Mus musculus: one gene and its partner. The protein of the gene in region 1 purifies or fractionates together with the protein of each later gene. This does not show direct contact. Links are inferred from orthologs where the notes say so. Each region holds a gene or a part of one and is shown in the gene's direction. Other genes may lie near its edges.

The links. Proteins that work in one complex are often made in the same cells at the same time.
Region 2: the proteins of Tmem192 (region 1) and Ctsd purify together in Homo sapiens (affinity purification with western blotting; 3 studies listed by BioGRID, with this or other methods). This does not show direct contact. The link is inferred for Mus musculus from reciprocal best matches to the Homo sapiens genes TMEM192 and CTSD.

The regions. Positions count from the first base shown.
Region 1 is NC_000074.6:64,946,316-64,950,050, forward strand, and holds the start of Tmem192 (transmembrane protein 192), read left to right. Parts: upstream 1-869; 5' UTR 870-991; coding exon 992-1,018; intron 1,019-3,735.
Region 2 is NC_000073.6:142,385,511-142,389,255, reverse strand, and holds the start of Ctsd (cathepsin D precursor), read left to right. Parts: upstream 1-1,428; 5' UTR 1,429-1,451; coding exon 1,452-1,519; intron 1,520-3,637; coding exon 3,638-3,745. UniProt on the Homo sapiens protein: Acid protease active in intracellular protein breakdown. Plays a role in APP processing following cleavage and activation by ADAM30 which leads to APP degradation.

The DNA.
Region 1 (3,735 bases):
TACTTTGTATATAAAACAAAACAACTCATCCGTTGCGATGATGCACACTAGCGATGCCAGATTTCACTGTGTGAAGGCAAGTGGATCAGGAACTGAAGGCCCGTTTCAGTGCACATCAATTTCTAGGTCAGTGTGAGCTACTTGAGACTTTGTTTTAATTTTTACAAAAATGAGGACTGGGCAATGAATGGCTTTTGCTGTCAAGTCCAGGATTCACATAGTGGAAGAACTGACTTAATCTTGGGTCAAGTGTGGCGGCTCATCCGAGCATTCCACTAGGCAACAAAGACAGGCGAATCTCCGAGGGTTCAGTCTGGTCTACATAGTGAGTTCCGGAACACGTAGCGCTATGTAGAGAAACCCTGTCTCATAAAAACAAAACTGAAACCAAAAATAATCAAAGGACAGAAAAAGAAGAGATGGGGAAGGGGAAAACAGAAACAGAATACCTTAAAAAAAAAAAAAAACTACAGAAATTTCCTGTGGAGACATCTGTAAATCGTGTTATAGAAATTGGAATCTATTCTAATTAAGTCCCTCTACAGGTGGAATTGCGATTTTTACTGCGTCTTTTTCCAAACAGAGCTATCTATATTGTTGCAAACAAAAATTGCGCCAACAGAAATAAGTTAATATTCTAAAGAGAAGTAGTTTACTTGGTTTAAATGGTTGCTCGAGAAATTCATCCTTTAATTTCCAAATCTCTGATAAATGGATGAAGCAACAGTTTAGGGGAAACCCCAAAACAACCGCCTGGGCTACACTGCAGCTCAAAGCTGGAGTCTGCAGGGGGGGCCACGCCCCTGGCTGCTGATCGGCTGATCTAGGTGGAGGGGCGTGGCCTTCGGCGGCCGGGGCGGGGCGAGCGCAGAGTGGGTGTGTCCGAGGCGGGGCGCGCAGGTCCTAGTAGGTGCGACTGTCCCGGGCCGTCGGCGCCCGGGCGCTGGTGGAGAGGTCAGGCTGGCGGGGCATCGGCCCGCGACGGCGGGTCATGGCGGCGGCCGGCCGGCTGGAGGACGTGAGTGAGGCGCCGAGCCCTGTCCCCGCCATTCGGCTTCCTGTGCTGGGCTCAGGGGGCGGAGACTGCGGGCTAGGAGCTAACCAGAGCCGCAGCGGCTCGACCATCGGGGACGCAGGGTGCGGGGTGACGCGACGGGCGGGGACCGCGGACCCCGGGAACGTCTTCCTGAACGATCGGAGGGACACGGCAGGGTGGGCGTGCGGGACCCTTCACTCGGCGGCTCACGTGCAGTGCGCGTCTTTGGTTCCGGAAATGGGAGCTTCACGTGATGCGAGCTGGCTTGATCTGTCCTTCCTGGGAGAGACTGACAGGCGGGCTTGCAAGCCCGGGTGACCCGGCTTCTGTGGGCCCTCCTGCGTTGGTCGGAGAGCACCCGGAACTTGGAGTGACTCTAACCTCCAGCATCCCTCGGGCGGACTTGTAGCTCTCATCTCCCGGAAACGCAGATTGGCGCATAACAGTTATCATGTGCTGTTTTGAATGTAGGCATGATAGGAACAGTGCTTGGTTGCTTTAAAAAAAAAAAGTATTCGGTTGCCCAGTTCATGATGTAGCCATTATAGAATAATACAGTTGCAAAAATCTTGAGTTTGCAAGCTCATTAAGACACTGATTTATTTGAAATTGGGTGTGGGGCGGGGGAAACACTTTGGGAGGAAACATGCGTTTGTTTCCAGAACAAACTGTTTTGTCCAGTGGCATAATACAATTCCTGCCCTTGAGAAATGCAAGGCTGACATTATCTTAGCACAGTGACCTGAGCTAATAACTAATAAAAACATTATCATGGTCTTAGTATAAAAGTACATCAAAATAATAATAATAATAATGATAATAATAATAATAATTAATAATAGCAAGGTTCCAGAACTGTAAGGGCTTAGATTCTTGTGTGTTTGGGTCCTGCAGTCATTTATTTATTTATTTGTTTATTTAAGACTTGCTATGTAGCCCTAGCTGGCCTGGTACTCATTATATAGCCTAACCTGGCCTCAGATTTGCCTATCTTCCCTGACTCAACCCATTTTAATGCTAGGATGATGTAGCTAGTTACATTTTCTTGATGAAATATGTTTCTAACAGCAGGACTAATCTAGTTATTTTTCAACTGAGAAAATGGGAAAGCAACTACTACTTGGAAACTTAATACTTAGGCCTCTCATGGAGGGCAGTCTTGTAGCTGCCCTAACCAGACTAATCCTGGCACTATGTCATGCCATATGGCCACCTCTACCTCTCTGCTCAGCTCTGGTCCTGTTTACCCCCTTGTCTGCTGGCTGAATCCCTCACCTCTGATTTCTTCTCCCAGAATCCCTTTCTCTCCTGGAAAAGCCACCCTCCACTTCCTGCCTAGCTCTTGTCTCTCCTCTCCTTATTACAGCCAATCAGATACGATTCTAGATCAGATGGGGAGAATGAATATTTACAAAATAGAAACCCAGTAATGGGCTGTAGAAATGGCAAGACCAGGATTCTGCCAGCATTTAGCTCTCTGCTGGTCCAGAATTAGCAATTGGAAACACAGAGACACACCTTCACAGAATGTACCCCAACTTGAATATGCTGCTGTTTCCTTACCTGAGATCTGTCGTCTACAAACGGCCTTTTGTTGTATGACTACCATCAGACCAAGAGAGGGAGAGGGGAAATATTTAAAGATATTCCCACATGGATTTTTGTTTTTTGTTTTTTTGTTTTTTTTTTTACAGGCTCATACTAGGTAACTCAGGCTAGCCCCTGGCTTACAGTAATCCTCCTCCTGAAGCCTCCTACATGCTGGGATTATAAACAGCACATGCCACTATACCTGGGTCCCAGTAAGGCTTAATACAGCATAGACATCAAGTCCCCAAAGGAAGCAGTTACTGGGGGAAGAAAATGAAGAGACAGTATTGAGGTCAAAACAATAGCTGAGTTCTTTGGTAGTAACTCACTCGATCATAAGTCATGGCAATGGGTTGGGCGAACGTGGTAGAGTTCTTGCTCGTTTAGCATCCACACAACCCTGAGCTCAGTCTTTAGCACCACATAAACCAGGCATGGTAGCACACACCTGTGGTCCCAGCACTGAGGAAGTAAGGGGAGGGAATCTTAAATTCAAGGTCACCCTTGGCCTTAGGGAGTTACAGACCAAAATAGAGGAAGTGAAGGAATGATTTGAGGTTCTGGGGATGTAGTTCAGTGTTAGAGCAGTTGTGTAACACACATGAGGTCCTAGGTGTGGGGTGGGGGGAGACTTGTAAGAAGATAGAAAAGTTGATTGATGAATTGATTGAAAATGATTCAAGCCAGGCAGTGGTGGCTCACTCTTTAATCTCGGCACTCAGGAACTAGAGGCAAGTGGATCTCTGAGTTGGAGACTAGCCTGGTCTACTTAGTGAGTTCTACAGTAGCCAGGGTGACAGAGACACCTTGTCTTGGGGAAAAAGAAAGAAAGAGAGAGAGAGAGAGGAAGGAAGGAAGGAAGGAAGGAAGGAAGGAAGGAAGGAAGAACATAGAAATAGCAAAGAGAGAATGAAACTTCTAGCTGAACTTTGTAGAGCTGAAACTTGCCCTTTTACTAGTGGAGAAATGAGTGAAGGAGACGGTGGCGTTTGCTGTGATAGGCATTGTAGGTGGGGAGACAAGTAGGCATGGTGTAGAGATGGAAGGAGTTTCCTGAGAGCAGTTCCAGGGTGCAGCGAGCCTGGTGAAGCATTTGGGTTCTGCCCTGA
Region 2 (3,745 bases), on another chromosome or scaffold:
CACAGCTGACCGCTATGTCCTGCCTCCAGTCATGCCGACACACATCTAATGGATGTCTCTATTGGCACCTGAGCACCCTGCAACACTATTTATGGCAGGGCTGGGAGAGCCAGCATGGTGCCCCAGAGGACCTTTCCCATTGCCCACCCATGGTCCAGCAATCATCTCTAGATAGCAACTCTAGGAAGCAAATGGCAACTCCAGGGCCAGACCCTGTCTCTTGGGCTACCAAAGAATAGTCTTAGATTCAAAGGAGTAGAGGGTCAGATTCCAAGATCTTAGGGCAGCTCTCGCCCTCACACCCAAGCTTTAAGCAATGTGTGGAGTGCTGACTGTGGAGGCAGGATCCAGGCTGTGGTGACCCACGTGTAGCTATTAACACTGACCCTGAGTGGAGAGCCTTGGCAGAGGTCAAGTGCCCAACTTGATGTAACTTGATGGGAATTGTAGCTTTGAACCTGGGGAACCAGAACAGCTCATGTGTCCATGTGTAGAGTGGACTTAGAGGCATCCACCTCCTCAATACAGGTAGAACATGTCCAAAAGCGCTCCCGGGATCAGACCCTGGCAAGGCTCCTCTGCGTTCCTGTCCTTGTATGGACACCACCTCTCAGAGAGGACATTCCCCTTAAATGCCTTTCTGGGCTCAGCTCTCCATGATGGAGAGCTGGACTCTGCCTCTCTCAAACAGCACCCAATTCATTTGCTGACACCAAGCAGGGCATTAAAGAGTGAAGTAGTTAAGACCCAAGTGGCGATTGCAACCCTGGTCTCATCTCACTGTACACCCTACCCCTTGTATCAATAGATGCATAGTCCAGGACTAGGCCTGCAATCAACATTGCTACATTATGGAATGTGCATGTTAGGTGTTCCAGCTTAAATAAAAAGGGTGTTGCTCTGGGGAGATGAGTAGGTAGTGGAGCTTTGAAGAGGGTGAAGTTTGCTGGTCCAAGAGTCCAGAGAGGCTCCAGGGAAATTCTCAAGGAGGAACAGAGCTGAAAGAGAAAAGGCTTAGGTTTAAGCTGGCATCCAGGAGAGGGTCAGGGCCCAATCAGACAAAGACCACATCCTGGTAGTGGGCACCCCAATTATGCAAAAAAGACAGATTAAGGGAGGGGCGGAGCTGAGGGCAGGATCCGCCCCTCTGGATGCTTCCGGGCCTGCCTGGTCTTCCTTCCCCCACGTGACCTGTATCCAGTCATTCTCCGGTCCCAGGAAAGTGGGCGGGCGCGTTCCCGAGAGCCGTGCGTAGGCCTGGAGTAGGGCACGCCTGCGCCCGGGCAGTGTTGGAGGCGGGTTCGGGTCGCCCCGCCCCTCGCCCGCGTCTCACGTGACCCGTTGAGGGCCAAACAAGCGGGTCAGCTGACTCCGCGGGACTGCGGCGTCATCCTGCCTATAAGCCGGCGACCTCTGGCTTTAAGCTTTGCTCTCTTCGGGCCGCCGCGACCATGAAGACTCCCGGCGTCTTGCTGCTCATTCTCGGCCTCCTGGCTTCGTCCTCCTTCGCGATTATCAGGTGAGGACCCGCTCTGGGTCCGGAGATGCGGGGCTCGTCACCTGGAGTGCCGCGTGCTCCGGCCGTGCTGGAATGCACCTGTGCACCCAGCGCAGCCTTCCTCAGGGTCCCACAGACTATGGGGCGAGACACTCAAAAGGCAGGGGTCTCCTGGGCCCCTCTCCACTCCTATGACTCCTATGGTCGAACAGGAGGGTACAGTAGGGTGGCCACAAGTGGGTCTGACTCCAACCTCGCCTCTGTGTGTGTGTGTGTGTGTGTGTGTGTGTGTGTGTGTGTGTGTGTAGCGGGGCGGCCGCTTCTGAGGAGAAGTGCTGCCCCATGGATAGGATTCTGTTGAACCCAGCTGTGGAAGTTGGAAAACCTAGTAGGCCCTTGCCCCCCTGAACTTCCTCAGGCCTTTCCTTTTAAGGGACCCTGTTTGACAGCTGTGCACTGGTGCATAGCCCTAGAAGTTTACTCAAAGATGATCCCCCCTGTCCTGGGTGGTGAATCTCTCCTCCTCCCTCCTGAGTTGCACAAGTCCCAGAGAGAGAAGGTATGGAGTGGCCCAGTTCAAATACCTTGGAGCTGAGGTCTACCCCACTGGGGACCAGGCCCTTCTCAGGCCCGTGGACTTGGCCTTTGTGCTAGATGAGGTCTTGGTGGTAGCCCGTGTGTTTTCCCACTCTGTGAGTCCCTGGTCGTGGCAGGTGGCTGAGGCCGTAGGCTGCGGGAGTAGAGCTGGCTCTGCCGGCTGGGCACCAGGGTTGGGTGGGAAGGAGCCCAGTCTGTAGGCTGCAAGCTGTGGGTGGGTAGCCTCAGTGGAGCCATTGTAGGGAGTGGCCTAGGCTTGATCCTGCCCTGGGCTTGCCTGCCCTGCCCTCAGGCTTCTCTTCTCTGGGAAGAGGTGTTGTGGACTCCAGGATCCCTGAGACTAGGCACCAGAAACAAAGCCACACTCTTAGGCTTGTTGGCATGTTTCCTGACCTTTGCAGGGTGTGTGCCTCCCCTAAGCCCCAGGCCAGAAGCCTGCCTCTTCCAGCCCACTACTCTTAGGCAAGACTCCTATGTCTCTCAGAGCATGCACTGTGCATGCCAGGAAAGGTCAGCTGTGACCTTGGCTACAAATCCCTGGGCAGAGAAGTTTCAACAAGTGATTACAGATCAGCTCTCCTTGGGAACAGGAGCAAACTGGGGGTGGGGGGTGGGGTGGTGGTGGAGAGGTGACCTGGAGGGCAGGGCAGGGACCCCTCTCCCTCTGCTATCTAATGGTGGCGTCCCCTATTTAGTTGTCTGCATCAGGGCTGCAGGGAGCATATAAGGGCCTTGAGTCTGTGGTGGTAGGGCATGTAGGTTTCTTGGGTGAGAGTTGCCAGATTGTGTGCAGGGATGGCTAGGGAGAGCATGAGGAGTTGGTGTTGAAGCCTCTTGGATGGTTAGGGGAAGAACCTCCAGGGACTGTCCAGGATGATAATGTCACTGCAGGCCTGGTAGGGGTGGTTGGTGGGGCTCCTTTTTGTAGAGTCCACGTGGGAACCGATGTGGCTAGGGGCCAGGTTCAGTGGATCAACCAGAGTCCCATGGTGCACCTTGCTTTGGATGCACCTGTTCCTCCTCCTCCTCCACCTCCTCCTGATGTAGGATTGGGTTCACCAGGGCACCAGGTACAAGTGCCTGGCCACACCCTAAACAGAACCCACTAGCCAGTAACCCAGGTAGGCAGACAGAGCAAGAGCTGGCCCAGTATGTGCTGTTTGTTTCACTCTAGGGTGACTGAGAACCACCTGACTGGGGTGTGGTTGGTGAGGGAAAGGGGTGGGCACACTAGCCTATCCTTGGACATGAGGAGCGAGCTTCTGTGACTGAACCTGAGGTGTCTGTGGTAGTGATAGGATGTCCTTAGCTGATTCAGTGGGTCAGTGGGCCAGTGGGCCTATGGCTTTGGGGCAGGAGTTTGTGACATGTTGTGGCCATTTTGAGATATTTAATTTGCTAGAGGCACCTAGGTGCATGCCTGGCTGGCAGTCATTCTGTACTAGAGGGCTGCCCTGGCCCAGCCTGGGGTATTTTGGGGTGGGAGGTTGGAGGACACAGCAGTCAAAGCTGGGTGCTAATACCTCTGTCCCATCTTGACAGAATCCCTCTGCGCAAGTTCACATCTATCCGTCGGACTATGACGGAGGTGGGCGGCTCTGTGGAAGACCTGATCCTCAAAGGCCCCATCACCAAGTACTCCATGCAGTC